Oreochromis niloticus: one gene and its partner. The protein of the gene in region 1 interacts with the protein of each later gene in a pairwise test. Links are inferred from orthologs where the notes say so. Each region holds a gene or a part of one and is shown on either strand. Other genes may lie near its edges.

The links. The genes of interacting proteins can lie anywhere in the genome.
Region 2: the proteins of rfx6 (region 1) and calcium-responsive transactivator interact in binary tests that used the Homo sapiens proteins (3 or more experiments, as listed by UniProt). The two-hybrid records come from large-scale screens. The link is inferred for Oreochromis niloticus from reciprocal best matches to the Homo sapiens genes RFX6 and SS18L1.

What each region holds. Positions count from the first base shown.
Region 1 is NC_031980.2:19,731,251-19,735,334, forward strand, and holds the start of rfx6 (DNA-binding protein RFX6), read left to right. Parts: upstream 1-1,113; coding exon 1,114-1,247; intron 1,248-3,966; coding exon 3,967-4,084. Other genes in the region: tdrd15 (tudor domain-containing protein 15), read right to left, coding at 1,078-1,162. UniProt on the Homo sapiens protein: Transcription factor required to direct islet cell differentiation during endocrine pancreas development. Specifically required for the differentiation of 4 of the 5 islet cell types and for the production of insulin.
Region 2 is NC_031984.2:13,592,448-13,596,531, forward strand, and holds the start of calcium-responsive transactivator, read left to right. Parts: upstream 1-1,188; 5' UTR 1,189-1,683; coding exon 1,684-1,752; intron 1,753-1,787; exon of another isoform or gene 1,788-1,896; intron 1,897-2,470; coding exon 2,471-2,547; intron 2,548-2,640; coding exon 2,641-2,725; intron 2,726-2,915; coding exon 2,916-3,048; intron 3,049-3,484; coding exon 3,485-3,733; intron 3,734-4,084. Other genes in the region: lsm14b (protein LSM14 homolog B), read left to right, coding at 41-170, 256-379. UniProt on the Homo sapiens protein: Transcriptional activator which is required for calcium-dependent dendritic growth and branching in cortical neurons. Recruits CREB-binding protein (CREBBP) to nuclear bodies.

The DNA.
Region 1 (4,084 bases):
AGTAGATTGTAAAGTAAAAAACCTATACTATGATCATATAACACATCACACAAACACATCTGTACACACATATGCAAATGCATTATATTGCCTGAAAAAAATTGGGCTAACTGCGCAGTGTTGCCTTGAGGCAACGAATGAAAATAACAGTTTTACTGTATAAATAAATTTTAAAAAGTAGAACAATCAAATATGCTTCTTAACATATTCGTGCACATACAAGTATTTTTTATTATACATTTATTTCACTATAAACATGTAAAATAGTGATCTTTATCTTGCCTCCTAATGGAGATGTCTCCCATGTAGTGCAGCTTGCAGAAAGGGTGGTTCCCCCCCCCAAATGAAAGTCACACCACCTTCAACTCATCATTTTATTGGAAAGAGATGTGTCTGGTAGCATTATTTGAAAAAAAAAAAAAAAAGTGTTTTTTTTTTTTGAAGGCCGAGTGTAAGGCATGAAAATGTGGTTTGTTGCCTCAGGGCAACGCTATGCTGTAGAGCACAAGTGTCGAACTCCAGGCCTCGAGGGCCGGTGTCCTGCAGGTTTTAGATGTGTCCTTGATCCAACGCAGCTGATTTAAATGGCTAAATTACCTCTTCAACATGTCTTAAAGTTCTCCAGAGGCCTGGTAATGAACTAATCATTTGATTCAGGTGTGTTGAAACAGGGTGAAATCTAAAACCTGCAGGACACCGGCCCTCGAGGCCTGGAGTTCGACACCCCTGCTGTAGAGGGTTAATATCATATATACCGAGGTAGCTTAGATTTTCGCGATGTAGTGCAAATAAACCTTTAATAAAAATGTAATTATTGAATACAGAATCTGACAAACTGTTATTTGCCTACACCTGCAGGATGGGTAAGCGTTTCGGTAAACGGAAAGTGACCCTGCAGAGCGTTTCATGAAAAGGAGTTAGCTTCAGTAGAAGTAGCACAGAGCTAACTATGCTAAGCTACCCTCACAGCTGGGTCTAACGCCTTCTTTGTGGTGTTTGTGATCCCTAATGAGCCCTCCATGACTGAGATTACTGGTCAGCAGGTGACACCTGTGTGATTGTAGTTCCCTGGCTCACCTTGAAGTCGTTTTTCTACCTTCTGTCTTGCCTCAGATGTGTAAGGACGGTCCAAGCCGAGAGCACGTGGCGTGGCTGACCTCATTTCCTGCTGCTGCCGCCTGTCTCATGCTCCAGGTAAAATCTGTAAAAACATGGCGGCCTGAAGTACGAGATGCTTTAAGCAACAGGTACCATTAACTCCTTGCTCATATAAACAATAGAGGGGACATATCTCGACGAGTATTTAAAACGCATACATGTGACCATCCTAATAAATCCAGGAGGAGACTATTTATGTTGTAATGTTTTATTTTGTTTGTTTTGCTCTTCTACTACTTCTTTTTTACATGAATAATACAAGAAAAACTTTATTTATCCTAAAATGTGGAAGGTCAGCCTATGATTTAAAAAGGCCTTATTTTAAATAAAGTAGACAATCTCAATAAAATGACTCAGTGAGTTAGAAAAAAAAAGAAGGATACAAAGAACAGGACACAACAAATAAAATAAAAGAGTTCCGTAAATAAAAATCTAAACATAATTACAATAAGGAGTAAGATGGGCAAAAATCATAATAAGTGTGTTTAATAAGTGTGTTTTTTGGAATGTTTTTTAGTTGTTTTTTGAATGCTCTTCTTCCTTGGCTGTAATGAGTGGATATCTGTGTTACAATTGACAGCAATCTGATCCATCTCCTCTCACCTCCTACATGTACAAGTCATTTTCTCCCAGAGAACTGCCGCTCACTGAATATTTTCTTTTAATTCATTCTCTGTAAACCCTAGATATGTCTGTTTGAGCAAATTCCAGTAGATCAGCAGTTTCTGATATACTCAGACCAGCCTGTCAGGCACCAACCGTCAACCGTGTCACACTCAAAATCACTGAAATCAACTTTCTTTCTTTCTTGCATACTGTACCTAAATGAGTTGAGTTGCTGCAATGTGACTGGCTGATTAGATATTCGTCTCAATGAGCAGATAAACAGAAGTAACTAATGATGTTGTCTCCAAGTTTATTTTTGCATTATCCATAGCCACAGTTATTTGGATGACTTCTGCATGCTAAGCATTTCAAGCATTGTCATCATAAATGAATAAAGGTATAAAATTCACTAGAAACTATGGAAATAGCTGAGGGTCAATATGTGCTGGTGGAGGACCTCCGAGTTCCATACTTACTGTGTCTACTCCAGTGCTCAAGCAGTGTAGACCAGTATATATACTGTACATATATAATATATATTGTTACCTATGTGGGAACATCACTAAACAATGTAACTAAAGAATAAAGTCATCTTAAAAAGTGAGATCAATAAAAAGTAAGAAGAAAATACCTTTTAGACTGAAAGCTTAACAGTTTAAAGGATATCTTCATTTTTCTAGAGTAACACTTACAAAAACAAGCAAAACTATAAATTTAATAAATATGACGTGTTTAATCATGATGGGTTTTTTTAACCTTTGTTGTATTATTGTCAGTGTTGTGGTATAAATTAACGGATTAGGATGAAGCAAGATTATTTGGCAACGATCTAGCAAATTACCAAATTTTACATAGTTGCAGCTGTTTTTGTTGTTTGGTTATTTTTATCGGCTTTGATATTTTAAAATATGATTGATTCGTGATTGTATTGTTAGTAGATTGTAATTTACACTTTTTTTCCCCACTATATTCTCACAGTTTAGTTCTCAGCTGCGTTTCTAAGCTACCCTCTACACTTTACATACAAACTAAGAACTGCTCTATATGGTACAACTGCATCTCCCAAAATAATCAGCAATTTATAAATACAAATTTGTAAAAGAAAATGTAGTTGTTTTGAAATATTAGAAGTCTCAGATTGGATCACGTGCACAGTTTAAGTTTGCAATACTGCCTTAAAATCTGGTATACCTTTGCACAATACATTTGGTGGCCAGTAAATATAGATTATATACATGTGATACATGGTTGTTGTAGAGGTTGTGTTTTTCAGAAAGAAGCGACTATTCAGTTTTCACAGTAAATTTGCTAATGTATGCTTTTAATTTGACGGTCTTTAAGTGTTTCCTGAGTCTGGGTTATTGCCTGTGGTTCTGTAATTGACGCAGAAATAAATAAAGGAATGTAAAAGCAACTAATATACCTATTCTGCCACAACCATTTCAGCATGAAATAAAATGTAAACACAGATGTTACTAATGATGGTCATGTGGTAGTTCTGTTGTATTTAGGTACAGGGCATTAATTAATGGAAAAACCTGTATTTACCTACAAATGGGTCATAAAAAAAACTTAAATACACTTCAACTGATACAGCAACAAAAATAATATTCTGCAGCTCTAGAAGTTTATGCAGATTTGTTTTTTATTTGAGAATAGAAGCTTTAAATAAACTCGCTAGTGCCACACAGTTACATTCATTTCAAGATTCAGCTTTCAGACAAATGAAGATCAGATGAATTGAAGCAACCTGAATGAGTGTGACTTAAACCCACATGTTTTATGTGTATTTAACCCTGTATAAAGGGCCAGCTGACTGTGGGAGGTAAGGTAGATGGATGGACAGATGGATGAGGGTTTTTCTGTTAATCATTAATAAAGTGGATTAGCCCCAGTCTTCTGTAAATATGATGAATGCATCCACGGCTTCATTAGCTCTGCCTTCTCACAGCGCTGCTTTATTACACTGAGATCGCACAGAGAAAGCCTGGGAGTTTTTCACCACTTTTTTACCTGATAGAGAAACTCTGGACATGGTGTCTCTGATCGATCTCATCTCTTTCTGGACTTGTGTGATGGAGGGAATAGCACACAGCGCTTAAGGATTTATTTGGTGTCTGAGGATTTTTTCACACAGCAGACTAACTTCACTTTTTTCTTTTACTTCTTTTCTTTTTCTTACACAATGCCGATGAAACGCAGCAGTGAAAGTTCAACCAGAGACGGCGTGTTTCTTATTCACTCTTTAACCAGAACATTGTGCAACTCGCCAAAGGAAACATGCTCAGACTTTAACGGGCAGACACACTTTCATCAGGAG
Region 2 (4,084 bases), on another chromosome or scaffold:
AGTCTGTCCTTCCACTGTCAGTACTTTTTTCTGTTTTCAGATGGGAATTCTGAAGGAACGGAAACAGAAGGGTTGCAGCTGACTTCAGGGGAGGATTGTTTAGCACCAAAGTGCTACTATGACAAAGCAAAGTCTTTCTTTGACAACATCTCATCTGATAATGGGCTCAGGTAATCAGCTGACTCCATCTTATATAAAAGATGGTCTTTGTGCAGATATGTGCTCATGGCTATTTATTTACATCAATGGTTTCAGACTGACATGGGCAGAGGAGCGAAAGCGCAATCTGGAGACTTTTGGTGTCCCTGGGCGTTTCCTGAGGGGCCAAGGATTCAGAGGTGGATATGCCAGAAGAGGACGAGGTGCTGCCAGAGTCTAACTCAAAGAAACACAACTGGGCGGCTGTACAGATCAGTTTCATACAAAGGCAGAGTAAAGCCACCTTGAATGATTTAGTACCCTGTTTCTTACAGTGAGTGGAAAGTACTGGATCCCCTGTAAGAATCTTGCCCCCTTTTTTCTTGACAGACCTTTTGAGTTTTAGCACAGTGAAGAAATCACAAGGGCAATAATGAAGGCTGTATTGCATTTGGAAGAGGCGCTATGCTGTGCATGTTGGTTTGCAGTCTGTTTACTGGTATACGTGATGGAACTAAACCATCATTATTACAGCTGTGCTGTAACCAGCCAAAATGTCTGTCATTAAAAAGTTTAACATTATTTCTTTGACATTTGACCTTGTTTTTAATGTGGGTAAAAGTTACTACAAGAGGCTTTTTTTGTTTAAAAGGGGGGAAAAACATGAATGCTTCAGTTTCTACTTTGGTTTGCTACTTGCAGATTTGTAAATTCTTGCATTTGCCTTTTTGGAGTATTAATCAGATTTGTCCATTCAATGTTGCATAGTATTAATATAATGAACTAAACAAGGTTTCAGACTTAAGACTTAATTTGGTATATTCAAGGGAATGAGTTGAATGTAAATAAAATGGATGTGCTGATACACCTGTTATGAGACTAAAAGACATTTTGTTGCACAAGTAAGCATTTAAAAAATTCTTCCGAATTATAAATAATCTGGGATAGTATCTGTGTTCTATGGCTGTTTCTTTGTCCTTTTAAGGAGCACTCCTTTAAACAACGTTAGCAATATATTCAAGATTAGATTATATAAACTGGCAAAAAAAAAAAAAAATTAGTAAATGTCTCACTGAATTACAAGATTACACATTCCCTGATTCAGTGCTGTTGTAAAAATGTGAATGGTGGGATTTCCACATTTCCTGAAATGCTAAAAGCAACTTTGGCTACAGCTGATCCAAGCAGACTGCTTTCTTGAATCAAACGATACCCCGTCTACAGTGAGGGAAAGTGGTAGGCTACTCACTGCCTGGACTATACCAAAATCTGAGGGAGAGGGATTTTTCCCTTACCATCGTATCCTTTTATATGCATGTAATTATTTGCACGCAGATCATAAATATTCGCTTAAGGGAAATCCTCTGTTTAATGCCATCCAGATAAGTCAAGTGTTTTCTAATTTTGCATCTTTCACGACATGGCTCTGGTTTGGTCAGTACCCCTATTCCTGGTAATGGAGAAACTATGTAACCAAATAGAAGGCTGCGCTCGAGATAATAAATATTAGAATAAAAGCGGCTCTTTTATTTCCCATATGACAAAATGTCGGTGGCGTTTTCATCGGCGCGCCCCAGAAGTAAAGGGGAGGTGACACAGCAAACCATTCAAAAGGTAAAAAATCCTAAAACGTCGCGACATTTCTATTTAGATCTTCTAGCATGGGAGTATGTGATCCCCCTCCAGTGCAGAGAAAGTAGCCAGTGGTGAATATCAAAGAAATGGCAACTGGTATTGCAACGTTACAGTCAATTGAAGGTGCGAACCAAACAAAGCCATCGCGGTGATGTAGACGAGCGCTCGGCTTAACGCCGGCTGGATCTCTGCTTTCTTGGTGATGCTGTCTGTCATCCTCGCAGATATTATGAGACGAATGGGAATATTTTAGTGTGAGAAATTGGAAATCCGCTTTATATTTCGTCGCAAGATGGTTAACAAGAATTCTCAAAGCAACAGCTCTGCCCTGGTGTTTAATTAATTAGGCTATAGGTTAAAAGTGAAGGCAGGTGTTACAGTATATGTCCTAGGGCACCGCTTTTATCCTTGATTGAACCGTTTAGCGCGAAAGTAAAACGTAAACCCTATCCTTGAAAGCCAGACTTTCAAACGGCGTCCTAAATAAAGACAGTGAAAAATGAGTTCTTCTTTTGGCTCTGTTATATAAAAAGAAGATGAGAAAGGTGACCCAGAAAAAAAACATTCAAGGGCTGGATAAAGTTCTGAGAATCAAGCACATCACTGTTTTAATAAAGTATTTGTTAGTTAATAATTTACTATACACTTATAGGACTTCAGATACAGTGGAATGAAGTTGTTTTATTATTTTCCAAAGATGCTGGATGAAAATCATCATTTAATACAATGCATAATGGATTACCAAAGCAAAGGCAAGACAGCTGAATGCACACAGTAAGTGTTTTTTTCTTTCCTCCCTGACCGGTACCTGCTAAATATCAAAGTATAGCACAATTAAGACTGGTTTTCTTCTTCTTCTTCCTCCAGGTATCAGCAGATCCTGCACAGAAATCTTGTTTACTTGGCCACAATAGCTGATTCAAATCAGAACATGCAGTCATTACTACCTGCGGTAAGTCTGATTTGTGACTTCAGTAATAGCAACTATCAAATATAAGTATACACTGTGTCCACTGGGAAAATAGAACATTAAAGGAAAACAGAAAATAGATGCATATAAATACAGTGTGAAAAAAATGAACTGCATATCAGTATTTATTTATGACTGCCACTACTTAAATATTACGTCTGTACACCTTTAGCCTCCCACTTCCAGTATGTCTTTGGGTCCTGGAGGGATGGGCCAGAGTGGGGGACATGCTCAAAGCAACCTCAATGACAACATGGGACCAGCACTGCCCGCGACATCAATGATGCAGAGCCAAATGAGTAATGGTGAGAGTTAATTGCATACCTGTGTTTTACAGATAAGCCCTGAATCACTTATTTCAGCCCAAAGATGCCTCCCGATTTTGTTGTCTGTCCAGTGTCTTGCTTGCTCGTCTCATTCTGACTTAGCTGCATGTTTGTCTGCAGACACAGTACCATGTCTTGTCTGCCACAGTGCCCGCACTTCTTTATTGCTTCATTGCCTTCATGTATCTGTGGTTTTAAGTTCAGCCAATGAGTCAGATTGTTTCACAGTTATGTTACTATATTCCCTCTTTTTGTGAAAAAACTATACACACATCCTTAACATGCGTTACTCTAGCTTTGTTCAACCATGCACGTCTCCTGTGAAGATGAACTGAATGTGGGGCCGTGGTTAACATGATATGGCACCACAGGGGAATGTGTGGTGGCTGCTCTGACTGTGCGTGTGTGTTGTCAGGCCCCAGCCATGCCCCCATGCAGCAGCAGTCTGGTCAGGTGCAGTCGGCTATTCCCTCCACCTCCCTCAGCCTGCCAGCAAGCAGCTATGGCAGCTCGGTCCCTGGGTACAGCCACGCTGCACCCTCCTCCCAGGGCAGTATGATCCAGGGCCCTGGGCCTGGTTATGGCTCTTCCTCCTCTTCTTCCTCCACATCCTCATCCTCTTCTTCCTCCTCCCGCAGCAACCTCAACATGCATTCCAACCAAGGTGAGCCAGGTATCGTAAAACCCAGTCATCAAGAATTGGTCTCTAAACCATCATGATCTGATAGTCAGGAGTTACCACCTCTCGAGATGCAAGATGGCATACTTGTTTTTTACTTGTTTATGTGTATTATGCAAGATTTGGCATTTAGAGGATTGGAATGATGATAATAATCTTTTCAAGTTTTCAGGGTGAAATACTGTACATGGTACATCAGTAAAACAGTTGGATGATGACCTCTGAAGCTGTGCCCCTTTCGAGCTTGCATAAAAAATATGCCTGCATGCATATCTTAAACTTTCCTCCTGTGTAACAGACAAATACGAAACACATTCAGTTCATCACTGAGGTGTC